Macaca mulatta: one gene and its partners. The protein of the gene in region 3 interacts with the protein of the main gene of each other region in a pairwise test. Links are inferred from orthologs where the notes say so. Each region holds a gene or a part of one and is shown on either strand. Other genes may lie near its edges.

Region 1 (3,711 bases), on a different chromosome or scaffold from region 3:
TGTCCCGCATCCCTCCCTGCACCCCCGGCCGCAGTCTGCTGCCAGCCCAGAGCACCCCTGTGAAGTGGGGCTGAGGGCATTGGGCCTGCTTGCCCATCTCCAGGGCAGGGGCTCACGGTCTCACTGGCAGCTCTCTTGGGGGAGACAGCTTGGACTCCATGCCTGCCGCCTCCCATCACCCCCTCACCATGGCGGACCTTGGCAGACCTTGGGCCTCAGGGACCCACAGAACAGGCTGTTCTCAGACCACTCAGCCTGTCTTGCCACCTCAGTCCCTTCCGGCCGGGCCTTGCCACTCGCCACCCTCACTGGTCAAGGCTCCAGTGCGGCTGGTCCCTCCAGGGAGCCCCTCCAGGCTCCCACGCTGTGTCACACACATCTGGGGGTGTCCTGGGGGAGAGCCCAGCACTCTGTGGCCCAAAGATGCAGCAGCTCCCTTCTGTCCAGCCACATGCAAGCGTGACCTGTGGACCCACGGTCCCGGGAGGGCCCTGGGCTTGTGTCCTCCATCCCACGCTCTCCCCAGAGTCTCCCCAGCAGGGTCCAGCCCTGCTTTCTGGCTGTTTTGGGGCTAGACTCTGATGGCCCATGGGACAGCTTCCCCACCCCCGGGCAGTTTGTCCAGGCCCCCTCACACGGTGGCCCCCGCCCCCCTTAGGCTCCTGTTTGTCCGACGACACGTCCCCGTTATCAGCGGAGAACACACACAGGAAGTCCGGCTGGGAAGGGCCCATCCCAATCCCGATTACCCGGGACGGAGCATAAAAAGCCGCCCTTCCTCGCCCGGGGGGAGCCTCCCTGCACCAAGCCAGCCCAGCACGGCTGCAAGGGAGGCTCCTGTGGACAGGCCAGGCAGGTGGGCCTCGGGAGGTGCCTCCAGGCGGTCAGTGGGCCTAAGGCCCCAGCAAGGGCCAGGGTCCATCCCCGGTCCCAGGACACAGCAGCGGGCCACCATGGCTACGCCTGGGCTCCGGCAGCATCAGGTACGGCAGGGGTGGCCTTGGAGGGGCAGGGAGCGGACAGGGCAGGCCCCCCGTGCCCCTCACTCCCGCTGACCACGGCGCCTGCTGGCTGCTCCGCAATCTGCTTCCCGGCGAGGTCACAGGGGAGGGGGTCCCGGTCTCCTCCCCTTCTGCACAGAGGAGGCCACTGAGGCCCCTGAGCCAAATGCCTGCTAGCGGGTAGCTCAGTGTAGATCCCAATCCAGTCTGCTGACTCCAACACTTCACCCCCAGCTGCCCTTCCCCTGAACCCCACCCTCTGGCCTTTCTCTCCCTCCGCAGAGCAGCCCCTGGGGTTGGCAGCAAAGTTCAGCTCAGCTGGGCCCACTGTGAGGGACTTAGTGCTACATCCTGGGGTGTCCCAAGGGCTGGGGTCTCCTCAGCTTCTTCCTAGCAGTGGGGTCTGGGGAGGGGAATTGGCCCCGAGGGAGAGGAACCCCAAAGCCAAATCTGTAGCCAGGATGAGCGGTGTGAACCCAGGGTGCGGGACGTGGGGCTCAGGCTTAGTGATGACTTGGTAGGGTGTCATGGGCAAATAGGTGACTCTGTGGGCCCCCCGTGGACCTTGGAGAAGCCCTTGTTCTCCCTCTCCCCAGCCCCATGCAGAGTGGCTGAAGCCCCATCCCCAAACCCCCGGAGTCATAGTGGGTCCCAGAAGGCCCCACTTTTTGTCTCATACGTCCACACCAAGAGGCCTGTCTGAGAACCCCCACTTTCCAAATGGTGGGGCCTAGCCAGGACGGGGGTAGCGAGGGCTGGCTCGGGGCCGCCCCGGAGCTGCCCTTTCTGCTCCATTACCTCTTCCAGATTCAGGCAGGAGACGTGGGGAGGCAGGTCAAAGGGTTAAGTGACCGCAGCTCCAGAGATGAGGCCAGGGGCAGAGGACAGGGCAGGGTGGCTCTTCCCCCCAGAGGCCCCTAGGCTCCACTCTGAACACTTCACTGCCGGGGGCTGGGTAAGAGCCCCGCGTGGGCTCAGGGTGCCAGGAGGCCCAGGACTCCCCAGTCAGATGAGGAACGATCCCTGACAGCAGCTGCTCTGGCCGTCCCTCGGACCACGTGCCAGGGGTTTCCAGGGCCCCTGGTCCAGAGCAGTGGCCACCGGATTGCAGGGTGGAGCGGCCTTATTTTGGGGGCTCCTCTCCAGGGACCTGGGCCCCTCCTTTCCTCCAAGTCTCATGCACCAAGGTAGGACCAAGCTGGTGGCCCTCCTCAACCCATCTGCAGGCCTCTCGCCCAGCACCCTGGGTTTTGGGGACGGACCTCCAGCTCCACTCACAGCAGCCTTTCATCCCCACGCCGGGGAGTCCAGGGCTGGAGGCAACAGCCCCATTTTACTGAGGCCAGGAGCTGTGGATCCGAGAGGACGATCAGCTCGGGACAGGATGGGATCGGGGTAGGTACAGGATGGAGGCCTGTAGGCCTAGTGCAGGTGGAGGTCCCACAGCAGCACCAAAGGCTGGACCCGGGCCATCCCAGCCCCCAGACATCAGGGTGACCAGGACTGTGCATAGGCACTAACCCACACCTCCTCTCCAACCGCAGCCCCCAGGACCGGGGAGGCACAGGTGGCCCCCATCACCCGGAGGAGCAGCTCCCGCCCCTGTCCGGGGGATGACGGATTCTCCTCCGCCAGGTGAGTCCGGGAAAACCCCTTGCTCCCAGGGAACACGTCTCACACAGGTGCCCACACTGGCTACGAGACAGGGCGCTGGCTCCTGCAGGGGTCTGAGGGGCTACTGAATTGGGCTGGCCCAAGCCCCACGTGCGGCGCCCTCAGTAACAGCTGCAACAATTGTGTTGTGGCCATGACCTCATCATCACTAGATCCCGGTGGGGACGGTCATGATGCCCACTGCCTGCGAGGCTGCAAGACCGAGCTCAGTGCTAACCAGCACCGGGTGCCTACCGCGCGGCCCCCCAGTGGCTTAGATAGGCGTCCCGGGGTGATTTTCAGCCTGGGGGCTTGAGAGCTAGCAAAGGGCCCGCAGCCCCGTCAGTGTGGGCGCCCTGGGCGGCCTCTCCCGGCTCCTGGCAGCCGGGCTCGGTGGTCGTGCATCCGCTCAGCGAGCGCCCTGCCGCGGGGACTCGGGCCCTAGGATTCCCGGAGGGGGGCTGGGGGGCTGCGGCTCAGAGGCGCTTTTGCGTCAGCCCCGGGTTCCAGCGGAGTCACTGCCCGCCCGCCGCGGGGCCTCAGTTTCCCCGTCTGCGCAATGGGGGCGGGGCGGGGCTCCGGCGGGGCCGCCAGGTGGGGCGGGGCCGGGGGCGGGGCGGGGCGGGGCTCGGGGCCCCCACGGCGCGGGCTCGGGCGGCAGTGTCGGCGGCGCGTGCGCGCCCCGGATCCGGCGGTGAGTGCGGAGCGAGCGGGGCGCGCCGGGGTCGGGGTCTGCTCGTCGCCCGGGCTGGGGCGAGGGCGGGACCCGCGGAGCCCCCGGGGATGGGGGACCTGGCCCCGCGCGGAGCCGGGGGAGGCTCCGGGACGAGACAGCGCGACCGCGGGGCCCAGAGCGGGGAGCGGGCCGAGGCGTCCGCGGCTGGGTCGGGCCGGGCCGGGAGAATGGGCCCAGCGGCCTCGGGAACCGGCTCCCCCTGCCGGCGGCTGGCGGGCGGCGCGGCGGAGAGGGCGGGGGGCGCCGCGGCCCCTCGTCCTACCCGGCCCGACCCAACGCCTCGGGGCCCAGCCCCTGCTGCCTGCTCCGCCCCCGCCAACC
Region 2 (3,746 bases), on a different chromosome or scaffold from region 3:
GCACAGTTTCTCTTTGGAGTAACCTACATCTGACGTATTAGTGGCAAAGAAGTAAACCCAGTGTTCTTATAGAATGAAAGGAGAACAGTTCTTGTAAAACAGGATATTACCTTCAACAACTTCTAAGCATAGGAAAAGATCCCTCACTTGAATCTGAATAAGATGTGAATGTTTTGGTCTACTCGTTAGAGAAAGCCAGGAAGTATGGATATATTCTTTATATTGAGGCTATGGAGAAAGTCACCTTATTAGTATTAATTTTTCAAATTTGAAATGCACACATTTTTAAAGCCAGTATTTTCATTTTTTTGTAATTATCTTCTAGTAAAAGTATTGGGAGGTTGGTAATGACAAAAGGATTGATTAGAAAACTTAATACAGCATCATTTGTGAGAGCAAAATACTGGAAAGAAATTTAATGCCCCCAAAAGGGCCAGGTTCAACAATTTTGGGTAAACTTTTTAATGCAATATTATGCAGTCTTTAAAATCTGAAGCAGCATCATAGATTGACAATGTCTTCGAGATATATTCTTTGGCAACAAATCAACTTAGTTCCTGAAGCGTAATGTGTAGAGCAACTTATACCAGGATTTGCTTAAAAACAAATGAAATCATAGACATATCTATATGCTTCCATAAGCAAAAAAATTCCTCTGAAGGGCTAGGCACAGTGGCTTAAGCCTGTAATCCCAGTATATTGAGAGACCGAGTTGGGCAGATAACTTGAGGTTGGGAGTTCAAGACCAGCCTGGCCAAAGTGGTAAACCCCCGTCTCCCCTAAAAATACAAAAATTAGCCAGGTGTGCTGGCACGCACCTGTAGTCCCAGCTACTAGGGAGGCTGAGTCAAGATTATTGTTTGGATCCTGGAGGTGGAGGTTGCAGTGAGCTGAGATCATGCCACTGCACTCCAACCTGGACGACAAAATGAGACTCTGTCTCAAGAAAACAAACAAACAAATAAACAAACAAAAAAACCCTCTTTGAACGAAAGCAGAGCTCTGATAGTGTTTTTCCTATGAGTAGAATTCGGGCCCCAAAATGAGACAAAGACTTAATTTTTGACTGATTTAAACAACTTTTTTTAAATCTTTTTTTTTTTTTTTTTCTGAAGTATATTGTATTCACTCAACTAAATGAAAATTTAAATAATGGCATAAGTAGAAATGAGCACTATGTGAAAAGACAGAGGAGATTCTCAACTTTGGGGGAAATGTCAGGTGAGCTGACCTTGACATTGGTCAGATTTGGGATAGAGCTGAGGATGGCACTGCAAGCAGGGGGTGTTCTGTGATGAAAACCAGGGGCAGGAGTAGTTATGGGAGATGGACGCCGAGGGACTGCTGAGGCCAGGTCAATGAGAGCTGCCTCCTGTTTTGGGAACCCACAAAGTCTGGGTGCTGGGAGCTCCTGGGATGCTCACCTCGTACTCATTGTAATGCACATAGATGCACAGCTCAAACTGTTTGCCATCCTCAAAGGGCACATAATCTGTTGTCTCCTCCAACATCCATATCCCAAACTCACGCCTGTTCATGACCACGTGATTGCCAAAGTGCACTCGGAAACGGAAGGCAATATCTGAGTCCTCATCCATGTCAGTGTAGAAATCCGCCTGCAGCTGTGGGTCGTTGCTGAGGGCAAAGCATGCAGAATGTTGGGCAGGTCCCTCCCTTGTGCAGACACACACTAGACATACACACAAATCCCTTCCCCCCTTTACCCGGGGAAAATGTCTCCGGGTAATTTTCCTGATAATACTGATGGCCAGGTCCCTGTGGGGATGCTTCAGCTCCTCGTGCCCCCAGCAGGGAGATTCTGTGCTCCTCATCCCCAGATGAAAACTGAGTCACAGTCGCTGACCTGGGCCTATGACTTGTTTATTCCCTGAAAATTCGATGCCCCTTGATAAAGAGCCACAGCCCCAACCCACTGAGTGTCCTCCTTCCCTAGGCCCTGTGGCTGGCCCACATGCAGTTGCTACAGGTCTCATGCCTGGTGCTGGAGGGACTCCAAGGACCGGCACCTGTATGGGGCTTCCATCCTGCCAGCTAGACATTTCCACATCACCTACACATAAGGTCAAGCCCTCAGCAAATATTCTCCCTTCTTCTCCAACCCCTCCATTGGACCATGGAGTACTCACATAAAAGAGTCGATTGGTGTCCCTTTGATTATCACGCAGGAACCAACAGACAAAGACACAGGCAGTTTGTATGGCACCTGCCAGAGTATTGAGAGTAAGTGAGAGGTGCAGGGTCAGGTGCAGTCTCCCCTCCTGAAACGTATTCCCATAGTGCAGGAGGTTAGAGATGAAAGGGAGGCTCTGTGGACTCTCCCCTTTCAGCCTACCACAGTCAGGGCCCCATATTCCTGAAGATATGGTGGACCCATAGTTAAGAATAAGCGTTCAGGAGCCAGGATGCCTGGATTCCGGTCGTCATTCTGCCTTTTACTAGCAGTGCAATCTTAGATTTGTTACTTGAACTCTTCCATCCCCATTTTCCCTAGGACAAGGAGAATGATCAGGAATTTCTACTTTGTAGGATGTTTTCCGTAATAGAGAGTTAATACATGTAAAAGTGTTACCCTAATCCCTGGCATGTGTAGGGCCTCTTACGGGTGACCTAACAGAACAGGGGAGTCCTCCTGAAACACTGACCTGCCTTCATTCTCAACTCTGAAAATTAAAATAGGACTTGTAAATGTAAGAATGTAAACATTCACTCCAGTGGGAAACAACACTTGTTGAAAGAGAGAGAAATGATGAAAATGATGATGTTGAGTAGGTCTCCAGAGGCAATTCAAAATTTTTTTGTCGAACATTAGTCCCTGAACTCTATGTCATCTCTTTGTATCTGAGATTTCGTCCTGCCCACCATGAGCAAAAGGTATTATCTGAGATAAAAATGAGTGTAACAGATGACCCGTGTGAGCTGAATGATAAAGGGGATATCACCACTGACCCCACAGAAATACAAACTACCATCAGAGAATACTATAAACACCTCTACGCAAATAAACTAGAAAATCTAGAAGAAATGGATAATTTCCTGGACACTTACACTCTCCCAAGACTAAACCAGGAAGAAGCTGAATCCCTGAATAGACCAATAGCAGGCTCTGAAATTGAGGCAATAATTAATAGCCTACCAACCAAAAAAAGTCCAGGACCAGATGGATTCACAGCCGAATTCTACCAGAGGTACAAGGAGGAGCTGGTACCATTCCTTCTGAAACTATTCCAATCAATAGAAAAAGAGGGAATCCTCCCTAACTCATTTTATGAGGCCAACATCATCCTGATACCAAAGCCTGGCAGAGACATAACAAAAAAAGAGAATTTTAGACCGATATCCCTGATGAACATCAATGCAAAAATCCTCAATAAAATACTGGCAAACCGGATCCAGCAGCACATCAAAAAGCTTATCCACCATGATCAAGTGGGCTTCATCCCTGGGATGCAAGGCTGGTTCAACATACACAAATCAATAAATGTAATCCAGCATATAAACAGAACCAAAGACAAAAACCACATGATTATCTCAATAGATCCAAAAAAGGCCTTTGACAAAATTCAACAGCCCTTCATGCTAAAAACGCTCAATAAATTCGGTATTGATGGAACGTATCTCAAAATAATAAGAACTATTTATGACAAACCCACAGCCAATATCATACTGAATGGGCAAAAACTGGAAAAATTCCCTTTGAAAACTGGCACAAGACAGGGATGCCCTCT
Region 3 (3,746 bases):
AGAAGAAAGGAGTGGGGATTGGGAAAGACTTAGCACAGGAAGCTGGATTTCTGAACTTTGTGCTCTGCAGGGCTTCTTAACTGTAAGAACAAATCGAGGCTACCCTCTGAGGCATCTGATTGGATTTAAATGAGGAAATTTGTTCTTTCACTTATAAAATTGTGCCAGTTTTGAGAGTTTGCCCACCCTGTTTTAGTAACCTAAACATTTCTAGAAAATCTGTATAAAGATAAATCTCTTAGGACAAAGTATTCACAACCAGCAAACTCACACACATGAAAATGACTTAAATTAAGGGATGAATTAATTGTGTAAACACACAGTGTATCTCTTCTTCGTGAGCTCCTGGACTCTCCTTTCACTATATCCTACTTTCAAGGACAAGGGAGGAGAGAGCTGTACATATAGTTAGATAAAAGATGAGAAGATTCCTTCTGGCATGTTTCTGTTGGTAAAGGGAACTATTTTCCAAAAAGTCATCTGAAAGGAACAGTAGGTTCTGTGAATTCTCCTAAAATCAGGAGGGATGTTAAGGCCCACCAGAAAATGTGTGCTGGCACCCAATCTGGATTAAGGTGTTAACCCGGCACCAAGTCTCTGGTCCAGAATTATCTGCAAACATATTATCCTGGCCAGGAGCTCCCCAGATAGGATCAGAAAAGAAGAGACTGTAAATGGAAAGAAAGATAAGCTAAGCATGTGCTTTGGGTAAGAAGTCCCAGCCCAAGGAGATGCCTGGGCTGTGGTCTGGGACTGGAGCCGCCTTAGTGGGAGGTAGTCAGAGTGTCTGAGGTAGAAGACCCCGGGGAAGGAACGCAGGGCGAAGAGCTGGACTTCTCTGAGGATTCCTCAGCCTTCTCGTCGTTTCCTGGCGGGGTGGCTGGAGAGATGGGCAAGAGACCCTCCTTCTCACGTTTCTTTTGCTTCATTCGGCGGTTCTGGAACCAGATCTTCACTTGGGTCTCGTTAAGCTGCAGGGATGCAGCGATCTCCACCCTGCGGGCACGCGTCAGGTACTTGTTGAAGTGGAACTCCTTCTCCAGCTCCGTGAGCTGCTTGGTAGTGAAGTTGGTGCGCACCGCGTTGGGTTGACCCAGGTAGCCATACTCTCCAACTTTCCCTGGGGCAAAGTGGGAAGCCATGAGATGGAAAGGTAAAAATTTTTAAACCGACTTGAGATTACCTACACACTTCATGGCAACACTCAGGTAAAGAAAAGATCAAGAACTCAACACAAATCGGGCTGTGGAGGGTGAGTGATGAGGTGTAAAGTGTTAACCTGAAGTCAACCATTAGCGTGGTCAGATCGGTGATTAATGGAGCCTTAAGATATTAACAGAACACTACCGTCACAATAACCACCCCCACACACTTCCTACTTCCCAAATGTATAAAATCCTTGAGAACACGCCAATCCCTGAGGCTTCTTTGCCCCAACACCTCTGGGTACCCTCTCCATGCACTACAACACTAGTCTTAAAGCCTTTAAAAAAAAAAAGATAATTATTAATTTTCCTTGGAAATTAAGCATACCAGCTCCTTCCAGATTAATCAAGGAGCATCCACCAACCCCCAGGACTGACCTGTTTTGGGAGGGTTTCTTTTGACTTTCATCCAGTCAAAAGTCTGCGCTGGAGAAGATGTCTCCGATGCAGGAGAGCGACAGGCTTCTTGGTGGCTGGCGTGGAGAGGGGACAAGGAGTTATTATACGTAGCCAGGGCCAGGCTCTGGTGCTCTTGTCCATATGAGTGGTGAATGTACTGAGGCGAGCCCACCGCGCCCCCGGCATAACCCTGGTGGTGGTGGTGATGCTGTACCATGGGAGATGAGAGATTTCCAGAGTAAACAGCGGGAGCGCACTGGGGGTACCCACCACTTACGTCTGCTTCCTGATTTAACGCGTAGGGGCTGTAAGGCGCACTGAAGTTCTGTGAGCCATAGCTTGGACCACAACTCGAGTGGGAGTAGGACACCCCCAGGTTCCCGGAAGTCTGGTAGGTAGCCGGCGGGGGGTGGTGATGGTGGTGGTGGTGGTGGTGGTGAGGCGAACCGATCTGCACCCCCCTGCCCACTAGGAAGCGGTCGTCGCCGCCGCAGCTGTTGGTACTGACCGCGCACGACTGGAAAGTTGTAATCCCATGGTCCGAGGGGTAGGCTCGGGCTGAGCAGGTCCCCGAGTCGCCACTGCTAAGGATGGGGTATTCCAGGAAGGAGTTCATTCTTGCATTGTCCATCTGTCACTGAGTGACCTGGTCCTGCGAAGCCCTGGGTGACCGTGCCAACTTTCTCACTTCCTCCATGGGGCCTGAGAAGAAAAATGATATGAATGTACAGTGCGCAAGAGGGGGGGGCGGGAGGGCGGAGGACGCTAGGGGAGGGGCACGTGACGGTGTCAGCCAATGGCTGAGCCTCCTGCAAAAGTTTGCCGGCTTCCGCGGTGATGGATCACCGTTTCAGTGGCATTTAAATCCCCGGCGCTCCGCCGTCTAGGTGACGCGCAGTCGCCCCCCCAGGCAGCCCAGGCGGCGGCAGCTGCTGCGGCGACTGCAACGGCCGATTTGGAGTGCTGGAGCGAAGAAGAGCAAAGGCTGCCTTCTGCGCGCGCCCGACTCCGCTGCCCGCCCCGCCAGGCCTCCGGGAGGTGGGGGCTGAGAGGCGTCCCCCGCTCCCGCCCCCTCCCCACTGTGCACTGAAAGATGAACTGGCGAGAGGTGAGAAGGGAAGAGGGCTCCCGGCTCTCTCGGGGCGCGAGTTAGTGGGCCGGAGTTCGCCGGGTGGCCGCAGGTTCGCGGGCCCAGCCCGGAGCGCGCCCAACCGGAAGGCGGGGAATCCGGCTGACACCGAGCCCCGGGTTCCCAGGCCGCCTTCTCTGCTCTGAGGCTGGGCTGGGAGACCATGGGGCTGTGAGGAGCGCACAGAACCGTGGCAGGGGGCGAGGCTGGGCCACCGGCTCTCCAAGCGCGGAATGGAGAGGGAAGAGCGCAGAGGGCTGGGTGGGAGGAACTCGGGTGGGGGTGAAGGAGACGAGGGCAAGAAAAGAAACTTCCCTTCTTCCAGGAGAGTCTCCGAAACCCTCTCCCCACAGCCCCCGCTCTTCATTAGCATGGCAATGAGGAGTTTCTGTAATTCGACCGGGGAAGGGGGGGTGCGGAAGAGCCCTGGAAACAGGGATTGCCGGAAAAGGCCGGGGGCGACCGGGCTCTTCTTCCCCACCCTCCCTCTCTCCTCGCTCTCCGCCGTTTCTTTCCCACTCAGTTTTGCAGCGGGAGCCCTCCGGGATGCGGAGCTACTCGACCGCCGGATTTTTAGGGGTAGGAGGCGGGGGAGAGAGATGACGCTGGCGGACGTGGCCAGCGTGGGGGCCGGGCCGTGCGCTGCAGGCCATCTGCCGGCGCCCGAGACCCAGGAGCCTCCGCTCCCGCGTGGGCCTCGCAGGGCCGGTCCACAGCTCCAACAAAGTAGCTGAACTCCCTTCGTTGCGTTCCTCTTTTTCTGGAGAGGAATGTTAGAAGAGAGAGAGAGCTTCCTTTTGTAACCTTCCTCATTCTGCTGCGCGTCTAGAGTGGGTGCGGGGACTGGCAGGTGGGAGGAGCGGTGGACAGATGGCTGATGGTGGACAGAACACTTTACCCCAACGACACCTCCTCCCCTTTCCAACTGGCTGGGTAGTTGCTTATGAGAACCTTCAAGTCTTTCCTTAGAGAGACACGTGAAAATCTGAGCGTCATCCCAGGCCAAGGGTCCT

What was found.
Region 1: the proteins of HOXA1 (region 3) and EGFL7 interact in binary tests that used the Homo sapiens proteins (3 or more experiments, as listed by UniProt). The link is inferred for Macaca mulatta from reciprocal best matches to the Homo sapiens genes HOXA1 and EGFL7.
Region 2: the proteins of HOXA1 (region 3) and LGALS13 interact in binary tests that used the Homo sapiens proteins (3 or more experiments, as listed by UniProt). The two-hybrid records come from large-scale screens. The link is inferred for Macaca mulatta from reciprocal best matches to the Homo sapiens genes HOXA1 and LGALS13.

What each region holds. Positions count from the first base shown.
Region 1 is NC_133420.1:5,826,560-5,830,270, reverse strand, and holds the start of EGFL7 (epidermal growth factor-like protein 7), read left to right. Parts: upstream 1-790; 5' UTR 791-983; intron 984-2,227; exon of another isoform or gene 2,228-2,396; intron 2,397-2,545; 5' UTR 2,546-2,636; exon of another isoform or gene 2,637-2,672; intron 2,673-3,310; exon of another isoform or gene 3,311-3,348; intron 3,349-3,711. UniProt on the Homo sapiens protein: Regulates vascular tubulogenesis in vivo. Inhibits platelet-derived growth factor (PDGF)-BB-induced smooth muscle cell migration and promotes endothelial cell adhesion to the extracellular matrix and angiogenesis.
Region 2 is NC_133424.1:50,722,220-50,725,965, forward strand, and holds the start of LGALS13 (galactoside-binding soluble lectin 13), read right to left. Parts: upstream 2,396-3,746; coding exon 2,354-2,395; intron 2,225-2,353; coding exon 2,148-2,224; intron 1,636-2,147; coding exon 1,425-1,635; intron 1-1,424. UniProt on the Homo sapiens protein: Binds beta-galactoside and lactose. Strong inducer of T-cell apoptosis. Has hemagglutinating activity towards chicken erythrocytes.
Region 3 is NC_133408.1:101,251,964-101,255,709, reverse strand, and holds the start of HOXA1 (homeobox protein Hox-A1), read right to left. Parts: upstream 2,628-3,746; 5' UTR 2,236-2,627; coding exon 1,584-2,235; intron 1,121-1,583; coding exon 765-1,120; 3' UTR 1-764. UniProt on the Homo sapiens protein: Sequence-specific transcription factor. Regulates multiple developmental processes including brainstem, inner and outer ear, abducens nerve and cardiovascular development and morphogenesis as well as cognition and behavior.